Saccharomyces cerevisiae S288C: one gene and its partner. The main gene of each other region encodes a partner of the protein of the gene in region 2 in a complex. Each region holds a gene or a part of one and is shown on either strand. Other genes may lie near its edges. A codon is read from its position in the direction of its gene.

Region 1 (10,926 bases), on a different chromosome or scaffold from region 2:
CTAATCCAATTGATGAAGGTATTTCACTACCTCCTAGAATGTCACAAATTTTAGCTGGCTTTGAGGGCTATTACAGCTTAAAATACAAAGAAAGAGTGCTAAAGTGGGCTCATCATCTAAGTGTAATTGAAATTGGCTGCCAATTTAATAGCGGTTACTACGAAATAAGTTTTTCTGTTTACGCTGGAGTGATTTTCCTTCTATTTGAAGATTATGAAGAATTAACGTTGGGGGAAATATATGAACTAACTCATATTCCCATAGATGACGTTAAGTCTCTTGTAATGTCAATGTCGACAATACCCAGATGTAAGATTTTGAAAAAATCATCCAGTTCAGGAAATATGAAATTTTCAGTTAATTATTTCTTTTCTTCTCCAAACAGGAAAGTGAAAGTGCCGGTTATTGCATGCCCTCTACCATCTCAGAAATCAGATAATTTGGCAACCGCAAGTTCCGTGGACACTTATGATAATGAAATTGTTATGGAGCTTAGTGCTATTATTGTTCGTATCATGAAAACAGAAGGTAAGCTAAGCCATCAGCAATTACTTGAAAGAACTACGAAACGGACACAGTCTCGGCTCAGTCTTACACCGAGCATTTTGAAACGAAGCATTCAGCTTTTAATAGAGAAAGAATACATCCAGAGAAACGCAGATGACCCCTCTTATTACCATTACCTTTCCTAATTGCTTATAATGAAAATCACAGGTATAAGGTTTGCAGAATGCCAACAGTATATATAGATGGCAGTTCCTATCCGGCTGCCAGAGCGAACAATATTAAGAGGATATGCGTCGATACTAATTGAATGTTCATCCTGCATTCCTTAGTGAAACTTTCAAAATATATAATAACATAGTTATGGTAGACTATATATCCCAGTCAAACTTGAATGTAATGTGGAGTGGGTAATCGATATCTCTTGAAGTTTATTATGCCTCATTATATTTTTATAAAAAACTTCTAGGAATTTGTTGAGTCAAATAATTTCTTTCTTAATCATTAAGTAAGTTAAAGTTACGAGCCTTTCAGACCTGCGTAGCACTGCTTCAAAGGAACTATTATCAATAGCAGCGCCTTGCTCTTTTTTTTTTTTCAGATGCTTAGCGGCCGTATTTCACTTTTCCTGGTAGAAAAATATATGTTGAAATTTACGGTATAAGAGAAGCTCACCAAAATTATTATCAATAAAGCGGCACTTTTAAATTTGGTATTCTTCCCTGGTTGTCAAGCCTTGGTTTCCCTTTATTTGATAGTATGAGCGAAATAAATAATGAAAATCTAGAGCCAACCTCAAGTACAGTAGCTGAGTCTACAGAAAGCAAGAATAAACACATTCGTAGCGCTTTAAGAAAACGAAGAGGTAAATTAAGCGCCCAAACTTATGAGGAAGATCAAGAGGCTATTTTATCATCTCCTTTATTGACTTCAACACCTAAAACAGTCTCCAGGTCATTAGTGAGGTTATACCCATATTTAATTGTTGTGGATAACTTTCTAAGTATCATCACTTGGTCCAATGACAATGTCTCTGCAAACTTGCTTGGAATATTCTTATTTACGGTTTGTGTTCTATATTTTGGATTTATTACAAGGTATTTTGGACATTTAATGATCGTTGGTATAATATGGGTATATCTTTTAATTGACAAGCACGTTCAAGAAACAATGGCATCTTGCCCTTCATTGGATGATATAATACACGTTATGGATAGGGTTTCTATGAAATCTAGCGCTGTGTTATCTCCTATTACGATTTTGAGCGCTCAGGATGTTAGAAGACTGTTATTTACCATTGCCTTCCTATCCCCAGTTTATATTTTTCTAACAGTGTTTGTGCTATCTCCAAACTATTTAATGTTAATAGGGGGTCTGTATGTGCTTACGTACCATTCTAAACTAATCCGAAGAATGAGAAGATACTTGTGGAAATTTCGCGTTGTTAGATTACTTGTATTTTTCATAACAGGATTAGACCTTGGTGGACCAGATAATAATAGGCGCTTGTTTGCTTCTGTCAATAAGAAAATAAGGTCCTTTGTTTGGAATGAGGTAGGGAACACATCTAACACTAAAAAGACTGTACTTTTCAAGGTTGCTCTGTTTGAAAACCAGCGCCGCTGGCTTGGCATCGGATGGACATCAACTATGTTGAGTTATGAGCGCGCATCTTGGACAGATGAATTCCTAAATACTTCTCCAAGCCCAGAAGTGTTTACTTTACCAGAGGAGCAGTCGGGAATGGCTTGGGAATGGCACGATAAAGATTGGATGCTTGACCTAACAAATGATGGGATCATTCAACTTCCTGCTTCTGCTGCTAAGACAAAAGTTAAGCCAGGTGCAGATGAAGGTTTCATATATTATGATAACACCTGGAATAATCCCTCTGCAACGGACACATATAAAAAGTACACAAGAAGAAGGAGGTGGATCAGGACTGCAACAGTAACAACAACGTATGACGATGAGCCCACTGTAGAAAAAGCTACACCGAATTCTCATGCTCTGAAGAGTGAAGAAAATAATAGAGTTAGAAAAAGAAAAGTGTCATTTAGTACAGCAAATGAAGTGCATATCATACCTTCCTCGGACAGTAGCAAATTAATACAAATATCTGATGTTTCAATGTCTCCTTCTCTATAATGAGTGCATGCCCCATATGGACAACAACGTTCACACTGGTCGGTGCAAGGGCACACAGCAATCTCAGAGTTTCTTTCATTGGCTGCATGGAGCACAAATTCAATCTTGTGCTTTAAAGTATCTGCGCGGTTATGGCAAGTTCTCCATCAGTCTCTTATTCCAGCAAGCATTCTTTTACGGAACTTCAATGCATCTAAATACATATGTACAGATAGCCAAAACTAATAGAGACATAATAAATTAAACAAAACTGTAAATTTTAAAAAGAGTATATATAGGGCTCAAGAAACTGCGTAAATATAAAATTAATGAAGAAAATCTGATTGTCAACTAAACGACATCTTCCATTTCTATTTCATCTTCCAAGTCAGCCTCCGCGTCTCCTTGCGCATTGTCTCCAGCGGAACCTGTTTGCTCATCAGCTAGTTCACCTAAGGTTGCCTTTCTCTCCTCCTCTTTCAACTTTTTATACTCTGGCCTTAAAGTGTATTTGAATGCATATGGGCCCTTCTTCACTAGAGTGGCAACTTTATCCAAACACTCCTTTAAATGTGCTTCAGGTTGCCTAGTACGTTCCTTCAACCCCTTCAAGGACCAGTAGTCATACTCATCAAATAACTTGAACAAGTAATCCAAGATTTCCTTCTTTGGCATACGAATAGATTTAATATTGCTCTTGGCCTTCTCACGCCCCACTTTCAAGAAATTCGAGTTGTCTGACCTCATGGACATACCTGTGTGGCTCATCGTAACACCAACGGTTTCATCCAAAGTTGTGATCCTTTCCTTATTATTAAGCTTGACAATATTTCTTCTCTGTTCAACAATCTTGTGATAATTAGGATCATTCATTGATGGCATAACCTGACATTCGTGGCAAACTGTACCCACAATGGCGGTTTTTTTGGGAATCGTCTTCACATATGGTATATATCTATCTCTACCATCCCTATCTGTCATAACTCTGTGATTAAACTTTTTTCTATTATTTCTACGTTTTTGCTGCTGCTGCTTCTTCTTAAGTTCCTCTTCACGTTCTTGCTTCTTCAGGTAAGCTTGCCTTTGCTTTTCAGGATCTGCTTCCAACTCCTTTTTACGTTGTTGATATTTCTTTAAATTTTGTTCTGTGAAAACATATTCATTTTCTACTACTTTCTTTGTAAGTTCTAAATCATATTCGTGCGGTATAGAATCGTTATCATTTTCATTCAATAGAAGTGTGATTTTACTCCCATCCTTGTTTATCCTAATTTTACCCAGTTCTTGGCCATGCAAGTTGTTTCTGTCCCTCCATTTCTCTGCTAGAAACATGGGCAATCTAACTAACCAGACTTGTCTATTACTACGTTCCAAGTCCAAATCTAAGGATTCTTCATAAACTTTGGTTTCATTATTCTCAATATCATTACCGTCAAAAACTTCCTCCTCTTGCGAAAGATACTCATCACCGGAAATGTTACCTGATTTCTCCTTCGCGACAGAGTTCGTGGAATTATTAGAAAGTGCTGGTGCCCCTGCTGAACCACTGCTCATGGTGTTAAGTTGGTCTTCTATTTTACTCTTAATATTGCGTTATGCGTTGAAGCCAACAGCATATGTCTTATTCTTCTAATTTCAAGCCTGATAATTTATTCATTTCGCGCAAGGGAAGATGAAAAAGTTAAGAAGAGAATCGACCTTTGGAAAGGGCCCCAATGGAAAGAACTTCAATGTTTTTTCCTCTACAAGTAATAAGAGCATAAAATGGACCTAGATCTAGCCAGTATCTTAAAAGGTGAAATTTCTAAGAAGAAGAAAGAGCTGGCCAACTCTAAAGGTGTTCAGCCACCATGCACTGAGAAATTCCAGCCACATGAATCCGCAAACATAGACGAAACACCGCGACAGGTAGAACAAGAAAGTACAGATGAAGAAAACCTGTCAGACAATCAGAGTGACGATATTAGGACCACCATTAGCAAATTAGAAAATCGGCCAGAAAGGATACAAGAAGCGATAGCTCAAGACAAAACCATCTCTGTAATCATTGATCCATCACAAATTGGTTCTACTGAAGGAAAACCTCTTTTGTCAATGAAATGTAATTTATATATTCACGAAATATTATCTCGTTGGAAGGCGTCTTTGGAAGCTTATCATCCGGAGCTGTTCTTAGACACTAAAAAAGCACTCTTTCCACTCCTACTGCAACTACGAAGGAACCAGCTTGCCCCGGATTTACTTATTTCCCTTGCGACCGTTCTCTATCATTTACAACAACCTAAAGAAATAAATTTAGCCGTTCAGTCCTATATGAAACTCAGTATCGGCAATGTGGCCTGGCCTATTGGTGTTACTAGCGTAGGCATTCATGCTCGTAGTGCACATTCGAAAATTCAAGGAGGCCGGAATGCTGCTAACATAATGATTGATGAAAGAACGCGATTATGGATTACCAGTATTAAAAGATTAATAACTTTTGAAGAATGGTATACCAGCAACCACGATAGCTTAGCCTAATTGTTGAACTATTGTTTTCGTTATCGCGTGGCACGATATCATGCGGCCAAAATAAGAAGCAAGAATGCAGATGTTGATAGCCTTTGTTCAATTTTCCAGAGACAAATGCTTTACAGGATCGGGACTTGAAATATACTGACTGGATGACGGTAAACTTAGATCCGGATAAAGTTTGGATAGACGGCTGCTTTGATTTCACACATCATGGGCATGCGGGAGCCATTTTGCAGGCTCGTCGAACAGTTTCAAAAGAAAATGGTAAACTATTCTGTGGTGTGCATACCGATGAAGATATTCAGCATAACAAAGGAACACCAGTAATGAACTCTTCAGAAAGATATGAGCATACTAGATCAAATAGGTGGTGTTCGGAAGTGGTTGAAGCGGCGCCATATGTTACAGATCCCAATTGGATGGATAAATATCAGTGCCAATATGTTGTTCATGGTGATGATATCACCATAGATGCTAATGGAGAAGACTGCTATAAGTTGGTGAAAGAGATGGGGCGCTTCAAGGTAGTTAAAAGAACATATGGCGTAAGTACTACCGAGATTATACATAGAATATTGACGAAAAAATCTTTGCCACCGACTCATCCTGATTATTATCCCACCACCCAGGAATTGAGTTTCTATTCTGTCGCCCAAGATGCCGTTTCAAAACATTGTTATGTCTTTCAGAGGGATTTGGACAATGTCTTGGTCAATGGTGGATACAAATTCGATGCAGAAGATTGTGTTTATGTTGACGGGGATTTTGACTTATTCCATATGGGGGATATTGATCAGTTAAGAAAGCTGAAAATGGATCTTCACCCCGATAAGAAATTGATTGTTGGTATTACCACAAGCGATTACTCGAGTACCATTATGACGATGAAGGAACGCGTCTTGAGCGTTTTAAGTTGTAAATATGTTGATGCCGTTATTATCGATGCTGACGCCACCTCAATGTCTCAGTATAACTGCGAGAAGTATCATATTGGCACGGCTGTCCTCACTGCTGCCGGAAAATTCAGTGAATACTTGACTAAAGAGCTTATTGTGAAGAGGGTGGAATCGCAAAGGGAGGTTTACATTGCGAGGAACCAAAAAAAGGGAATGTCCATATAAACAAATGTTGAAAACTTCTTCGAACGTAAATTAAATGGATGTAAGAAAACTGTATTACATAAGTCATGAAGTAGGCATGCAAGTATATACCTATAGATGCATATAAATCAGTGGAGAAGGCCACTATCCTTCAGAGATCAAAAAACCTTTTTTTATCTTGAAAACGCCCTCATTCCTTTTGGACGTTTTCAAACTTTTGTTCATGCGATTGCAAATTTGAGCCTCTTCTATCTTTCTTGAACACTGGGGGTATTTCACCATTATCAATTAAGTCATCAATCTCATCGCCTGGCTTACCCCAATTACCCTTGCCGGAACCTTGCTTCTTGATGTGATTTGGAGATTCACCGTAGTTACCAGTGTGCGAAAAGTACTTTGGATCAGCCTTTCCTTCACGTTCGGTCCACTTGTTTGTTCTCGTCATTTTTTCTGATTGGTTGTACACTTGAGCGGTTTGTTACTGTTGATTGTTCGTTTATTTGTATAATTGAGTTTACACAACAATTGTTACAATAGTATGGGTAATTAGGGCCAAGAGAGTGACAAAAAGCAAACTTATAAATAGTCCTTTTATACAAATGACAAGTGTTCGCTTCTGCGCTCGCAGCCCCCTGTTTTCGAAGGAGTTTCTTAGCCTAAGCTAGGCAGGCGCGCCCCCATTATCTATCCCTTCATTGCTTACTGAGAGGTTTTCCTCCCCCCCTCCGCGTATATTTCCTCCGCTGGAGAAAATTAGTTGTGGGACGGATAGCATCACTTAATTCTGTACCTTTTTGAAACTGGCTTGGTACTTTCTGTTGGATAGCAACATTTCCCGCTGGGATACTTCAACATGGGCTATGAATTTTCTTTTGTCTTTTATCTTTTATCTTTTATCTTTTATCTTTAAATTATTTGAGCTCGGTTAAGTTCATAACTATTGCGTGCCCGAATGGTATTCTTTCAATTCACAACCAAACATTAAAATGAAGAAAGCATACTCTTATATTATATCAATGTCTTTTTCTTTACTTATTTGTCTTTGCTCATAAATTTCTACATAATGGTAGTAATGGTGATGAAATGTTGTTACTTGTGATATATTACATAGTTTTTACAGGCATATTCTATCTGATACCTGCCAACCTGTTGGTATTCATATGGAGATTGATATCTAGATCATCAGTGCTTTCCTCAATGTTGTTGAGACGTTTTTGCTGAGAGTCTAATTCTTTACCAGTGGTCAAGGCCATTTTCTTCAATCTGTTGCTAACCTGCTGAATCTGGTCCAAATTCCTATCAATTTCCAATTCCATTTCGTCATCTTCTTCATCATTCTCAAACTGATATCTCTTTGCCTTTTCTAGAACATTCTTCCTCTGATATCTTTCCCGCACCTCACTTATGTTATTATTTGCGTTCATAGCACCCTCTATTCTTTGAGTGGACTGAGACAATTGTTGACTTGTTTGCTCTCTCATTAATTTTTCTTCAATTTTCCTATTCTTCAGCTGCTCTTCCCTCTCCCTTCTCCTTCTCTTGGAATTAAACGGATTAGAAACATGGACAGCCAATATACTACGGTTCAATTTTTTTAGTTCTGCAACTTTTTCATCTGCAACTTTATTTTGCACCTTCATTAAATCTAAGTTTCCTTCTACGTTATTCAATTGTTCACTTTGATGACCCAGCATACCCAATGTGTTCATACCTGCTCTTTCGGCGTCTTGAGCCATTTTTAGTGTATTTCTAGTAGAGGCTACGGAACTCTGTTTCGTAAATTTGATCTCCTGCTTGATTTCATCTACTGCTTCATCTTCTTCCTGCTGCTGGCGAGCCTCCTCTTCTTTTTGTATTTCTTCAAATGTTTTGTAACCCCTTTGATCTCCATATTGGTTATTTGTTGCGTTAAAGTGTTGCTGTTGCTGTTGCTGCTCATCCATGAACCACTGTTGCTGCTGCTGCTGTCTTGAACTATGATCAACTTCGGACGCATTTAAATCTATTGAATCTTCATTCGTCATTACTGCATTCAAATCAGGCTCATCTAATGCCGCTCTATTTTCTGCAGACTTGTCAGCATAAACTTCTTCAAAATCAAATTCACCTGTTCTAGGTTCTTCATTTAAATCAACTTCACTATTGCGTGCTGCTTCATCAGAAGCAATAAAAGAGGGCGTATAAGTCATTGGAGCTTGTTGCGATTGCGGTTGACGCACACTTCTACTAGAATATGGATTTGCAGACCTGTTCAAATTTCCATTACTATATGAGTCGTTCGCCATAGAGGCGTATGGATTTGCATTCTTGGAGCTTCCTTGTCGAGTACCGCTAGATCTATTAGTATTGGAGTCATACGCCCCGCCATAACTATTCATATCAGCGTAAGGATTTCTCTTTTCTTGCATCGGGTTTGCTAAGGGACTTCTTTGGTCAAGCGATAAGCTGTTGGTCGACGTTGAAACCGGCGGTTGCCTTGTTTGCCTCGAAGGCCCTACGTTTAAAGTGCTGTTTGAATGATTTAAACTATTACGGCCATTCGCATTCACCCAGCTGTTTGAAGTATTTTGGTTACTATACGGGCCATCGTTATTATATGAATTCAGAGATGTGCCATTGTACCCCCCTCCATAATCACCATAAGGCGCAGCATTGACGCTACCTCTCCCATTACTTTTATTAGCTTGAAACCTTGCATAAGGATCGTCATCATATCGGTAATCATCATTTTCGATAGCGTACGGATCTTGCATAGAATTGGATTCTGCTCCATTTCCGAGATCTTGCGTGCCACTTGAACCTCTATTAGAACCAGCAGTTGCCTCGTTAGCATTGGCATCTAAGGGAGAAGCATTCAAATCCTCAAGTTCATCCTGTGGCCTAGCATACTGCTCATAACCTGGTGGCGCGTATACCTTATCTTCAGCTTTATCATTTGCAAATTTACCGTAGGCGGCAAATTTCTCTTTTCTTTTCTTGCTAGGGTTTTTGACACTAATACCCAGTTCCATCAAAGTATCCTTGTTCTGTTCTGGTGTCGCTTCCTCTGGAGGCTTAATCTTAAAAAATTTCTTTAATCCCATTCTTTTGGTGTCAATGGTGTATTATTCCGAGTTACTCCAGGCTAGGTTCAGGAGTACCAAGAATGTACTTTATTTATTTATACACCGGAGCAAGTCATATAATTACGCAAACGATTCGAAATTGTTAAAAGCAGGATCAACGTATCTCATTTCTTTTTGAAAGACGGGTAATAGAAAGTCTCTGAGTCGCACCCCACATGGATATCGTACTATTCGTATATGGAATGTAAAATACTCGCAATACGATTTTATTTAGCTTCACAATCTCTCAAACTTATCGTCTTGATCAATCTTTACGTTTTACCAAATAATCGCCTGTTTCTGGCCATTTTTTGCTTATACCATCTACCATACTCGCTGTCCATATGTGACGGTGTCGTCTCCAAGAAAAATAACAATGTAAATTGACCCAGCGTGACGACAGTAGACTGTAAGTTATAGTACAATCATACTCTACCTTAGTCACTGTTCCTCCACTGTTAAGTAGAGAGAGAGAGAGAGTTTAAAGTGGAGAAGGCAAGAAAAAGTGCACTTATTACGTAATGGATCCCACCAAAGCACCCGATTTTAAACCGCCACAGCCAAATGAAGAACTACAACCACCGCCAGATCCAACACATACGATACCAAAATCTGGACCCATAGTTCCATATGTTTTAGCTGATTATAATTCTTCGATCGATGCTCCTTTCAATCTCGACATTTACAAAACCCTGTCGTCAAGGAAAAAAAACGCCAACTCAAGCAACCGAATGGACCATATTCCATTAAATACTAGTGACTTCCAGCCACTATCTCGGGATGTATCATCGGAGGAGGAAAGTGAAGGGCAATCGAATGGAATTGACGCTACTCTACAGGATGTTACGATGACTGGGAATTTGGGGGTACTGAAGAGCCAAATTGCTGATTTGGAAGAAGTTCCTCACACAATTGTAAGACAAGCCAGAACTATTGAAGATTACGAATTTCCTGTACACAGATTGACGAAAAAGTTACAAGATCCTGAAAAACTGCCTCTGATCATCGTTGCTTGTGGATCATTTTCTCCCATAACATACCTACATTTGAGAATGTTTGAAATGGCTTTAGATGATATCAATGAGCAAACGCGTTTTGAAGTGGTTGGTGGTTATTTTTCTCCAGTAAGTGATAACTATCAAAAGCGAGGGTTAGCCCCAGCTTATCATCGTGTCCGCATGTGCGAATTAGCATGCGAGCGGACATCATCTTGGTTAATGGTTGATGCCTGGGAATCTTTACAATCAAGTTATACAAGGACAGCAAAAGTCTTGGACCATTTCAATCATGAAATAAATATCAAGAGAGGTGGAATCATGACTGTAGATGGTGAAAAAATGGGCGTAAAAATCATGTTATTGGCAGGCGGTGATCTTATCGAATCCATGGGCGAGCCTCATGTGTGGGCTGATTCAGACCTGCACCATATTTTGGGTAATTATGGATGTTTGATCGTGGAAAGGACTGGTTCTGATGTTAGGTCCTTCTTGCTTTCCCATGATATCATGTATGAACACAGAAGAAATATCCTTATTATCAAACAACTTATTTACAATGATATTTCCTCTACGAAAGTG
Region 2 (11,258 bases):
ATTCTTGTAACGAAGAAGAACGTATTTATAATATTGGGCTGTAATGTGTTGAGTTTAGTAATAGATAAAGTAGGACAGAGTTCTGTCTTTGTTTATCTATGGGGTTCAGAGTGATAAGGGGCAGGATAAGGAAGTTAAAAAAAAAAAGGTTACGTTATATAACGAAAGAAAAGAAACGAGCGAAGTGCCAACTATAGCCCAATATCAAGAATGCAAGTCAGCAAAGTACAGTAATCGTATGAAGATACGCGATGCGTAATATCCCTCAAGGGCTCCGGATCAGAAAAGCTAAGGGAAGATCCTTACATTACACGGCGTGCGACAGACTCGAACCACAGCTAACTTCTCGTGAAAAGATGGCTTCAACTTCGCTCTTGCAATAACTTTGAAACACACGAACAAAGGTTTATTGCGCTTGATTAACGTTGGAAGTATATGATACTAATACTACTTTGTTCTCTAAGTCATCGCTATATGTTTATCTCGAGGAAAAGGTGCACGGCGGTACACAATTACTTCGCCGTTTCGGGTAAAACAAGTGTTACATTTATAATATATATGTATATATGTATGTGCGCGTAAGTATATGCCGTTCATAACAAATCATCTTCTTGTTGCTGGATGGACTCCTTAATTTTATTCAAAATGGTAATTTTCCATTTATCTAGTCTCATAAAATTGTCAAACTCCTTACAGTGTTCGCTTAGCTGCTCGCTATCACCTTCATTAACAGCATCGATTAAACTTTTCAAGAAATTTGACTCCCTTGAATCCGCAAAATTCGGATCTTCACTTTGACCCTCTTGTAAAGTTCTTGCAGCAGCGACTGCATCAGTAGCAGCTAGCTGACAAAGCCCTTTTTTTAGGAAGTAATCCTTCAAACTCCATTGGCTCAATCTATTGCCCATGCTGCTCTTGATCAACTTCGAATATATATCACTTGCTTCAATATATTGACCGTCAAGAGCCTTTAGATCTGCGCATTTGATAAAACACTTATTCGATAATGCTACCGACTGGTCTTGGGCATACCACTCACCAGCGAGCTCATAGCAATCTATAGCTTTTGCATAGTCATGCAAATCATTTTCTAGAATTTCTCCAAGCTCAAACTTGAAATTAGCACCTCTCCGGAACTGCCCCCTATGAGTAAAAATTTGAATAGCATTTTCTAATGAATCCACGGCGTTCACAGAGTTTCCACCGCTTTTAAAGCATTTATAAGCCTCTACGTAGGTATTTCCTGCTTCGTCTTCATTACCAGCCTTTTTCTGATAGTCAGCAGCTTTCAAAAACGAGTCTCCTGCCAAGTTTAACTCTTTTCTTAGACGGTAAATGGTGGCTGCTTGGACACAAAGATCAGCAGCCTCCTCAAACTTGTATGAATCAGAACCGCTAAACAATTTCATGAAACCCGATGAAGGAACACCCTTCTTCTCAGCCTTAACACAACGGGAAATATCAATTCCCGTATTTCAATGTTAGTAATTTGCCTTCGTAAATTACGGAATCACATAGCTTTCATTTTGTTCCTTTGATATATTTCCCTACTACATACTCTTTTCAATAACTCTACAGGGTCTGACATTTTTAACTTTCAGGTTAATGATGGTGTTCTTACTATATTCTCGAGTCGTACAGAAGTTAGTTCAGATAAACTGCTTCGGTGCTGCCCACTTCTTATCATTACTTCAACTTTACCTTCCCTATACCTGTGTGTCCTTATTAATTCAAGTTAATCCGAGGTAATAGATTAGGGTAACCTTCAATGATGTCACGAAACACGGATGCTGCAACTTTGCGATTTTTTCCTGGAAAAGAATAACAATTAAAGGCAGCCTTTCAGCTGAGATTACCAGCAGGTCTTTGGAGATTAGCGCAAGAAGAAGTGTGATATAGTACTCATAGAGGCAGGCTACAGACTAGGGAAAGCGTGTTCAACAACAATAAGAAATGGAGACCAGTTCTTTTGAGAATGCTCCTCCTGCAGCCATCAATGATGCTCAGGATAATAATATAAATACGGAGACTAATGACCAGGAAACAAATCAGCAATCTATCGAAACTAGAGATGCAATTGACAAAGAAAACGGTGTGCAAACGGAAACTGGTGAGAACTCTGCAAAAAATGCCGAACAAAACGTTTCTTCTACAAATTTGAATAATGCCCCCACCAATGGTGCTTTGGACGATGATGTTATCCCAAATGCTATTGTTATTAAAAACATTCCGTTTGCTATTAAAAAAGAGCAATTGTTAGACATTATTGAAGAAATGGATCTTCCCCTTCCTTATGCCTTCAATTACCACTTTGATAACGGTATTTTCAGAGGACTAGCCTTTGCGAATTTCACCACTCCTGAAGAAACTACTCAAGTGATAACTTCTTTGAATGGAAAGGAAATCAGCGGGAGGAAATTGAAAGTGGAATATAAAAAAATGCTTCCCCAAGCTGAAAGAGAAAGAATCGAGAGGGAGAAGAGAGAGAAAAGAGGACAATTAGAAGAACAACACAGATCGTCATCTAATCTTTCTTTGGATTCTTTATCTAAAATGAGTGGAAGCGGAAACAATAATACTTCTAACAATCAATTATTCTCGACTCTAATGAACGGCATTAATGCTAATAGCATGATGAACAGTCCAATGAATAATACCATTAACAATAACAGTTCTAATAACAACAATAGTGGTAACATCATTCTGAACCAACCTTCACTTTCTGCCCAACATACTTCTTCATCGTTGTACCAAACAAACGTTAATAATCAAGCCCAGATGTCCACTGAGAGATTTTATGCGCCTTTACCATCAACTTCCACTTTGCCTCTCCCACCCCAACAACTGGACTTCAATGACCCTGACACTTTGGAAATTTATTCCCAATTATTGTTATTTAAGGATAGAGAAAAGTATTATTACGAGTTGGCTTATCCCATGGGTATATCCGCTTCCCACAAGAGAATTATCAATGTTTTGTGCTCGTACTTAGGGCTAGTAGAAGTATATGATCCAAGATTTATTATTATCAGAAGAAAGATTCTGGATCATGCTAATTTACAATCTCATTTGCAACAACAAGGTCAAATGACATCTGCTCATCCTTTGCAGCCAAACTCCACTGGCGGCTCCATGAATAGGTCACAATCTTATACAAGTTTGTTACAGGCCCATGCAGCAGCTGCAGCGAATAGTATTAGCAATCAGGCCGTTAACAATTCTTCCAACAGCAATACTATTAACAGTAATAACGGTAACGGTAACAATGTCATCATTAATAACAATAGCGCCAGCTCAACACCAAAAATTTCTTCACAGGGACAATTCTCCATGCAACCAACACTAACCTCACCTAAAATGAACATACACCATAGTTCTCAATACAATTCCGCAGACCAACCGCAACAACCTCAACCACAAACACAGCAAAATGTTCAGTCAGCTGCGCAACAACAACAATCTTTTTTAAGACAACAAGCTACTTTAACACCATCCTCAAGAATTCCATCCGGTTATTCTGCCAACCATTATCAAATCAATTCCGTTAATCCCTTACTGAGAAATTCTCAAATTTCACCTCCAAATTCACAAATCCCAATCAACAGCCAAACCCTATCCCAAGCGCAACCACCAGCACAGTCCCAAACTCAACAACGGGTACCAGTGGCATACCAAAATGCTTCATTGTCTTCCCAGCAGTTGTACAACCTTAACGGCCCATCTTCAGCAAACTCACAGTCCCAACTGCTTCCACAGCACACAAATGGCTCAGTACATTCTAATTTCTCATATCAGTCTTATCACGATGAGTCCATGTTGTCCGCACACAATTTGAATAGTGCCGACTTGATCTATAAATCTTTGAGTCACTCTGGACTAGATGATGGCTTGGAACAGGGCTTGAATCGTTCTTTAAGCGGACTGGATTTACAAAACCAAAACAAGAAGAATCTATGGTAATATATACTTCCATTATTCTATGATTATAGAGTTTGTTTGGTATTTGTATATCGCACGATACAAGTAATGAGGGGTGCTTACACAAGATAAAAGATAAAAAAATATATATATATAATAAAAACCATCAAAAACACCATTGAAAAAAAATATAAAAAAAAAAAAAAATAACCGAATATGAATATGAAATTAATGATCATGATGAAGTTAATTTTTACTGAGAAACGTCACCTAATGTCGATGAAACGATGATAATGAATGAATGATGAGGCTACTTTAAGTAACGCAATGTAATCAAGCCAAAATTATCCCTCTTTTTTTTTTTTCCCTCTTTTGAGATTTTATTTTTAACCTACTACTTACTTTTTTTTTTTGAACGTTCTTTTCCCACATACTTTTATATATGGTATTTATATGTACGATGTTTAATCACAGAGATGTTTCTACCTTACTCGATATTGTTTTTGCATTAATTGATATCTTGCTCACTGCATCATTGGCGGTATTTGTAGTATATAGAAAGTCGGGTAACAATAATTTATTGACATTTCTTTGTTTACAATGATCAGAGAAGAGCAGAAAGTTTCATAGTCAAACGTTCAGGCCAATTGAACAAGAAATTATTCGTTTTTTTAGTCGTTGAGTGTTCAACTGACATGCTATTTTGGTGGTTCTTGATTAATTGGGGGCTTCATTGTTTGAAATAAAGAGTCGGGAAAATAGCACAGAAACAAAGCATATTAAAAGAGGCAAAAGAAGAAAGAACGAATATAAAAGGTAAAAAAGGAAAAGCATTGCTATTCTTTTCTCATAGGTGTTATTCATACCGCCCTCTCTCTTCTTCCTTCTTCATTAATTAGTCTCCGTATAATTTGCAGATAATGTCATTAACAGCAAACGACGAATCGCCAAAACCCAAAAAAAATGCATTATTGAAAAACTTAGAGATCGATGATCTGATACATTCTCAATTTGTCAGAAGCGATACAAATGGACATAGAACTACAAGACGACTATTCAACTCCGATGCCAGTATATCACATCGAATAAGAGGAAGTGTTCGGTCTGATAAAGGCCTTAATAAAATAAAAAAAGGGTTGATTTCCCAGCAGTCCAAACTTGCGTCAGAAAATTCTTCTCAAAATATCGTTAATAGGGACAATAAGATGGGAGCAGTAAGTTTCCCCATTATTGAACCTAATATTGAAGTCAGCGAGGAGTTGAAGGTTAGAATTAAGTATGATTCTATCAAATTTTTCAATTTTGAAAGACTAATATCTAAATCTTCAGTCATAGCACCTTTAGTTAACAAAAATATAACATCATCCGGTCCTCTAATCGGGTTTCAAAGAAGAGTTAACAGGTTAAAGCAAACATGGGATCTAGCAACCGAAAACATGGAGTACCCATATTCTTCTGATAATACGCCATTCAGGGATAACGATTCTTGGCAATGGTACGTACCATACGGCGGAACAATAAAAAAAATGAAAGATTTCAGTACAAAAAGAACTTTACCCACCTGGGAAGATAAAATAAAGTTTCTTACATTTTTAGAAAACTCTAAGTCTGCAACGTACATTAATGGTAACGTATCACTTTGCAATCATAATGAAACCGATCAAGAAAACGAAGATAGGAAAAAAAGGAAAGGGAAAGTACCAAGAATCAAAAATAAAGTGTGGTTTTCCCAGATAGAATACATTGTTCTTCGAAATTATGAAATTAAACCTTGGTATACATCTCCTTTTCCGGAACACATCAACCAAAATAAAATGGTTTTTATATGTGAGTTCTGCCTAAAATATATGACTTCTCGATATACTTTTTATAGACACCAACTAAAGTGTCTAACTTTTAAGCCCCCCGGAAATGAAATTTATCGCGACGGTAAGCTGTCTGTTTGGGAAATTGATGGGCGGGAGAATGTCTTGTATTGTCAAAATCTTTGCCTGTTGGCAAAATGTTTTATCAATTCTAAGACTTTGTATTACGATGTTGAACCGTTTATATTCTATATTCTAACGGAGAGAGAGGATACAGAGAACCATCCCTATCAAAACGCAGCCAAATTCCATTTCGTAGGCTATTTCTCCAAGGAAAAATTCAACTCCAATGACTATAACCTAAGTTGTATTTTAACTCTACCCATATACCAGAGGAAAGGATATGGTCAGTTTTTGATGGAATTTTCATATTTATTATCCAGAAAGGAGTCAAAATTTGGAACTCCTGAAAAACCATTGTCGGATTTAGGATTATTGACTTACAGAACGTTTTGGAAGATAAAATGTGCTGAAGTGCTATTAAAATTAAGAGACAGTGCTAGACGTCGATCAAATAATAAAAATGAAGATACTTTTCAGCAGGTTAGCCTAAACGATATCGCTAAACTAACAGGAATGATACCAACAGACGTTGTGTTTGGATTGGAACAACTTCAAGTTTTGTATCGCCATAAAACACGCTCATTATCCAGTTTGGATGATTTCAACTATATTATTAAAATCGATTCTTGGAACAGGATTGAAAATATTTACAAAACTTGGAGCTCAAAAAACTATCCTCGCGTCAAATATGACAAACTATTGTGGGAACCTATTATATTAGGGCCGTCATTTGGTATAAATGGGATGATGAACTTAGAACCCACCGCATTAGCGGACGAAGCTCTTACAAATGAAACTATGGCTCCGGTAATTTCGAATAACACACATATAGAAAACTATAACAACAGTAGAGCACATAATAAACGCAGAAGAAGAAGAAGAAGAAGTAGTGAGCACAAAACATCCAAGCTTCATGTAAACAATATCATAGAACCGGAAGTACCTGCTACTGATTTTTTTGAAGACACTGTTTCCTCCTTAACAGAGTATATGTGTGATTATAAGAACACAAATAATGATAGATTAATCTATCAAGCGGAAAAAAGAGTGCTGGAAAGCATCCATGATCGCAAAGGGATACCAAGATCAAAATTTAGTACAGAAACTCATTGGGAGCTCTGCTTCACTATTAAAAACTCCGAAACACCACTTGGAAATCATGCAGCTAGGAGAAACGATACTGGAATATCAAGTTTAGAGCAGGATGAAGTAGAAAACGATGTAGATACTGAATTATATGTAGGTGAAAACGCCAAAGAAGATGAAGACGAAGACGAAGACTTTACCCTTGATGATGACATTGAGGATGAGCAAATATCAGAAGAAAATGATGAGGAGGAAGACACATATGAAGAAGACAGTGATGATGATGAGGATGGGAAGAGAAAAGGACAAGAGCAGGATGAAAACGATATAGAAAGCCACATAAGGAAGGAGAGAGTCAGAAAAAGAAGAAAAATAACTCTAATAGAGGATGACGAAGAATAAGCGGCGATGGGTATATATTGGATATAAGCATATACATGTAACATTATTAATAGCAATAAGAACCCTTGTAGTCAATAGTATTACAGAATTCTCCTACGAATAAATTTTATGTGTATATATAAAGATATATATGTGTGTGTGTACATGTGTGGGTGCGATTAATTTGTACTCATTAAACGAATAGTCAAAACAAACTAAATTCGTCTCTTAGCTTAAAATATATTTTTAAAGATAGAATTTATACCTGGAAGTTCATCTTGCTCATTGCGTATGTCATTTGCGCTGGTCATAGAAGAAAGCTCACTAGACTTTGGATTATCATGTTTAGCCTCTAACATACCGTAATTTTGCGATTGCTGCGATGGCGTGTTAATGCCATTCTCCTTGTGCAGTGGGTCAATGTCATCCTCCTCCTCCTCGTCTTTGCATCCTTCATTTGTATGAAAACCACTTACACGTCCTTTTCTCTTTAAATAATCCATTCTTTGTTGGATTTCCAACTCGGATCTATTATTAGGCAGAACAATAGAAATTTCTAGCGGCGACAAATGGTTTTGTTTGTCCTTCGTATTGTTAAGTAGCACTTCATCATCTTCTCTAGACCACGGGTGTTTATTAGCGAATTTTTGCATATCTAAGAAAGTCCTCGTGTGCGTGATTTTGTCATTTGCGTGGTCTGTCTTGCAGTTGGGAGACGCTATGGGGTTAAGATAGTATTGGTGCTGTGGATGATAATGAACGGATTGCGATGTAGATAACCTTCTGGGTGACATATACGGGCTAACTACCAAGGAAGCTCTTCTAGAAATAGGCTCCGTAGGAGCGTGAGAGTTGAAGGATGATCTTCTTGAATGCATCATGTTAAAAGATGATCTTCTAGAAGAAATTACGGAATGCGAGTTTTTCCTAGTCTTCGTCGTTGAATGAGGGATTTGAGTTGAAGGAATAAAGGAGTTCCTTCTAGACCTGATAATAATTTTAGGCACAAGACCAATATTCTCATAATCATTGGAATTAACAGCTTTATTTGTCTTTGCTGAAGTAGTGTTATAAAGGCTTAGATTTGTCTGCTGAGCAGTCTTTACATTAGGCGTGTTGGTTGTTATAGAATGAGAGAAGGACCTTGGCTTAACAAACAGTTTCCTTGGTTTCGTGTGTTGTGGCTCATGGTCCGAAAATGTTGATGTAGATCTTTGAGTTATCAGTTTTCTGTCCATGTATTTAGGCTTAACTAATGGCTTGAAATCCGGTGGAGAATCCTCGATAGCACTAGAACCTGCAGTAATATCTTCATCCTCAACAGCTTCCTCTTTTACGGCTTCTTCCGCAGACGGAGTACCCGCGGATGGGGTAGCATCACCAGTCGCATACACGCCGAATAGCTTATTGATGTCAATAACTGCGGTCTTGTTAGACTTTAAGTTGCCTGATTTCAGTCTCCTCCATCTGAATTGACAAGCGTTAGGAGTTCTATTTGGGAAATGATGTGCAATCTCCTTCCAGCCCAAGTTCTTGATCTCTTTCAGGTGGCGGAGCTTGATATCATCACTAGGGTCCCAAGAAGAGGGGTTGTTTTTTTTGAGTGATTCCGCCTCCTCCTTGTTCGTGCTGTTCTCTTTAGTGCTAGTGCTACTGATAGGCAGGTGGCTCTTCGCATTTGTGTGAGAAAGTGAGTGGGAATGGACAAGATTATTTGGGTGAGGGTGTTTGCTTAGTATTGAGAAACCATGTGAGTTGGCACTAACATGTCCTGATGAAACAGAAACGCTACTGAGTTTCGGCAACGTCATCGCGAGGGAACTTCAATAAGAACAGTGATATATTCTTTTCTCTACCCACTGTCGTGTATATGCCTTCTTGAGTGAGTAGTTTTAATGACTCAAGCAGTGGAGATTTGCCAGATTTGTTTACCTGAAAACAAAATGATATGAAAAGCCTTTATTAATATCAACGTACAAAAACTATACACGACTTCTGTGTAAGGAAGTAGAAAAGTGTCTCATCGCATTGGTCTCGCATCTCATCGCATCGCATCTCATCTCAATTTTCAAATTTCAGCTCTCAGCAGAGAAAAAATTTTTTTTTCACCGGACCAAAAATAGCCTCTCTCACCCACAGATAACGTCGCACACTAACAAGATGATGAGACAAGATAGGCCAAACCGCTCAAAAAGGAACTCGAAGAAGAACGGAAGTGGAGTTTAACTTTAGAACCTAACTGCTACTAAGTGTTGATACGCTAGGCAAGACACCTGCGAAATCCCGCTGCGAAATACCTGCAAAGAGGTTGCTAAACAGCAGCCAGAAGACTTGCGCTAGTAACGTTCCTGAAAAGCTTTGCACTGCAGGCATTTCTGAGCCTTTTCCGGCCTTCTAGAAGGCTTAGCCCCTACTAACGCCGGGTTACTTAGAACAGCACTCTTCTAAGAACAATCTTTCCAGCATGCTGGAAGGGCCCAGTGGTGATGTCCTGGTAGCAATGGACAACTAAAGGTGGACACTTTCGCTGCCAAGGCATTTTTTTGAGGCGCCAGTACTGTTATAGTTATATGTGGGGCATCTTATTGAAATCCTCGAACAAAAGTTGTTCTAGGCTCTGGAAACCAATTTTGACACAATATTATAGCATGACATCAACTGCCACGGATTCTCCGCTGAAATACTATGATATTGGATTGAATCTGACAGATCCTATGTTTCACGGTATTTACAATGGTAAGCAGTACCATCCAGCAGATTATGTAAAATTATTAGAGCGTGCTGCTCAGAGGCACGTGAAAAATGCCCTTGTTACAGGATCATCCATAGCGGAGTCTCAAAGTGCCATTGAGTTGGTAAGCAGCGTCAAAGATCTTAGCCCGTTAAAGCTGTATCACACAATAGGTGTTCACCCATGTTGCGTTAACGAGTTTGCGGATGCTAGTCAAGGGGACAAGGCTAGCGCTTCTATTGATAACCCTTCCATGGATGAAGCATATAATGAGTCTCTATATGCTAAAGTTATTAGTAATCCATCTTTTGCACAGGGTAAACTGAAAGAGCTTTATGATTTGATGAATCAGCAAGCAAAACCTCATGATACAAGTTTCAGGTCAATTGGTGAGATCGGGTTGGACTACGACAGATTTCACTATAGTTCTAAAGAGATGCAAAAGGTTTTTTTTGAAGAGCAACTGAAAATAAGTTGTTTGAACGATAAACTCAGCAGCTATCCATTGTTTCTGCATATGAGAAGCGCATGTGACGATTTTGTTCAAATATTGGAAAGATTTATTGCCGGGTTCACTGATGAGAGGGATACCTTTCAGCTACAAAAGTTAGGTGCATCGTCGTCTAGCGGGTTTTACAAATTTCATCCAGATAGAAAACTAGTGGTCCATTCATTCACTGGTTCTGCGATAGATTTGCAGAAATTACTGAACTTATCACCCAACATCTTCATAGGAGTAAACGGTTGCTCGTTGAGAACCGAGGAAAATCTAGCTGTTGTAAAGCAAATACCAACAGAAAGGTTGTTATTAGAGACAGATGCTCCGTGGTGTGAGATTAAAAGAACGCATGCATCTTTCCAGTACTTAGCCAAATACCAGGAGGTTAGGGATTTCGAATACCCTGCATTCAAGTCCGTTAAGAAAAATAAGCTCGCTGACAAGTTGAATGCAGAAGAACTTTACATGGTCAAGGGCCGTAATGAGCCTTGTAATATGGAACAAGTAGCAATTGTCGTATCGGAAGTCAAGGACGTGGATCTGGCTACTTTGATAGATACCACGTGGAAGACGACCTGTAAGATATTTGGAGAGTAACATCTATTGGTGCAAAGAGCAAAGTTACATTATTTTTAGTAAGTACACTAATTATGCTTAAACTATTAATAGGAAAATTATGGTGCGCATATACATACAGTCGATATTGCTTTCATTT

The links.
Region 1: the proteins of SEC17 (region 2) and SEC9 are in contact, whole or in part, in a cryo-EM structure (PDB 9CRU), measured with the Saccharomyces cerevisiae proteins. Residues at the interface, in NP_009503.1 of Saccharomyces cerevisiae: Arg114 (codon at 1,133), Gln152 (codon at 1,019), Ser153 (codon at 1,016), Val154 (codon at 1,013), Ala155 (codon at 1,010), Leu156 (codon at 1,007), Lys159 (codon at 998), Arg192 (codon at 899), Leu193 (codon at 896), Trp196 (codon at 887), Arg236 (codon at 767), Phe266 (codon at 677), Arg268 (codon at 671); in NP_011523.3 of Saccharomyces cerevisiae: Lys449 (codon at 7,984), Gln452 (codon at 7,975), Asp453 (codon at 7,972), Glu455 (codon at 7,966), Met459 (codon at 7,954), Leu462 (codon at 7,945), Gly463 (codon at 7,942), Met464 (codon at 7,939), Gly466 (codon at 7,933), His467 (codon at 7,930), Glu470 (codon at 7,921), Asn474 (codon at 7,909), Asn478 (codon at 7,897), Gln600 (codon at 7,531), Gln603 (codon at 7,522), Arg607 (codon at 7,510), Met611 (codon at 7,498), Thr614 (codon at 7,489).

What each region holds. Positions count from the first base shown.
Region 1 is NC_001139.9:501,675-512,600, forward strand, and holds SEC9 (Sec9p), read right to left. Parts: upstream 9,329-10,926; coding exon 7,373-9,328; downstream 1-7,372. Other genes in the region: cullin CUL3, read left to right, coding at 1-692; PEX31 (peroxisome biogenesis protein), read left to right, coding at 1,264-2,652; transcription factor IIF subunit TFG2, read right to left, coding at 2,983-4,185; mRNA splicing protein PRP18, read left to right, coding at 4,396-5,151; ECT1 (ethanolamine-phosphate cytidylyltransferase), read left to right, coding at 5,295-6,266; STF2 (ATPase-stabilizing factor family protein), read right to left, coding at 6,436-6,690; nicotinamide-nucleotide adenylyltransferase NMA2, read left to right, coding at 9,871-10,926. UniProt on the Saccharomyces cerevisiae protein: Component of a SNARE complex that may be the effector of SEC4 function in exocytosis.
Region 2 is NC_001134.8:115,455-126,712, reverse strand, and holds SEC17 (alpha-soluble NSF attachment protein SEC17), read right to left. Parts: upstream 1,589-11,258; coding exon 1,559-1,588; intron 1,443-1,558; coding exon 594-1,442; downstream 1-593. Other genes in the region: PIN4 (Pin4p), read left to right, coding at 1,954-3,960; SAS3 (histone acetyltransferase), read left to right, coding at 4,839-7,334; TOD6 (Tod6p), read right to left, coding at 7,547-9,124; YBL055C (3'-5'-exodeoxyribonuclease), read left to right, coding at 9,884-11,140. UniProt on the Saccharomyces cerevisiae protein: SNARE complex protein that binds to cis-SNARE complexes on membranes and is required for vesicular transport between the endoplasmic reticulum and the Golgi apparatus and for homotypic vacuole fusion.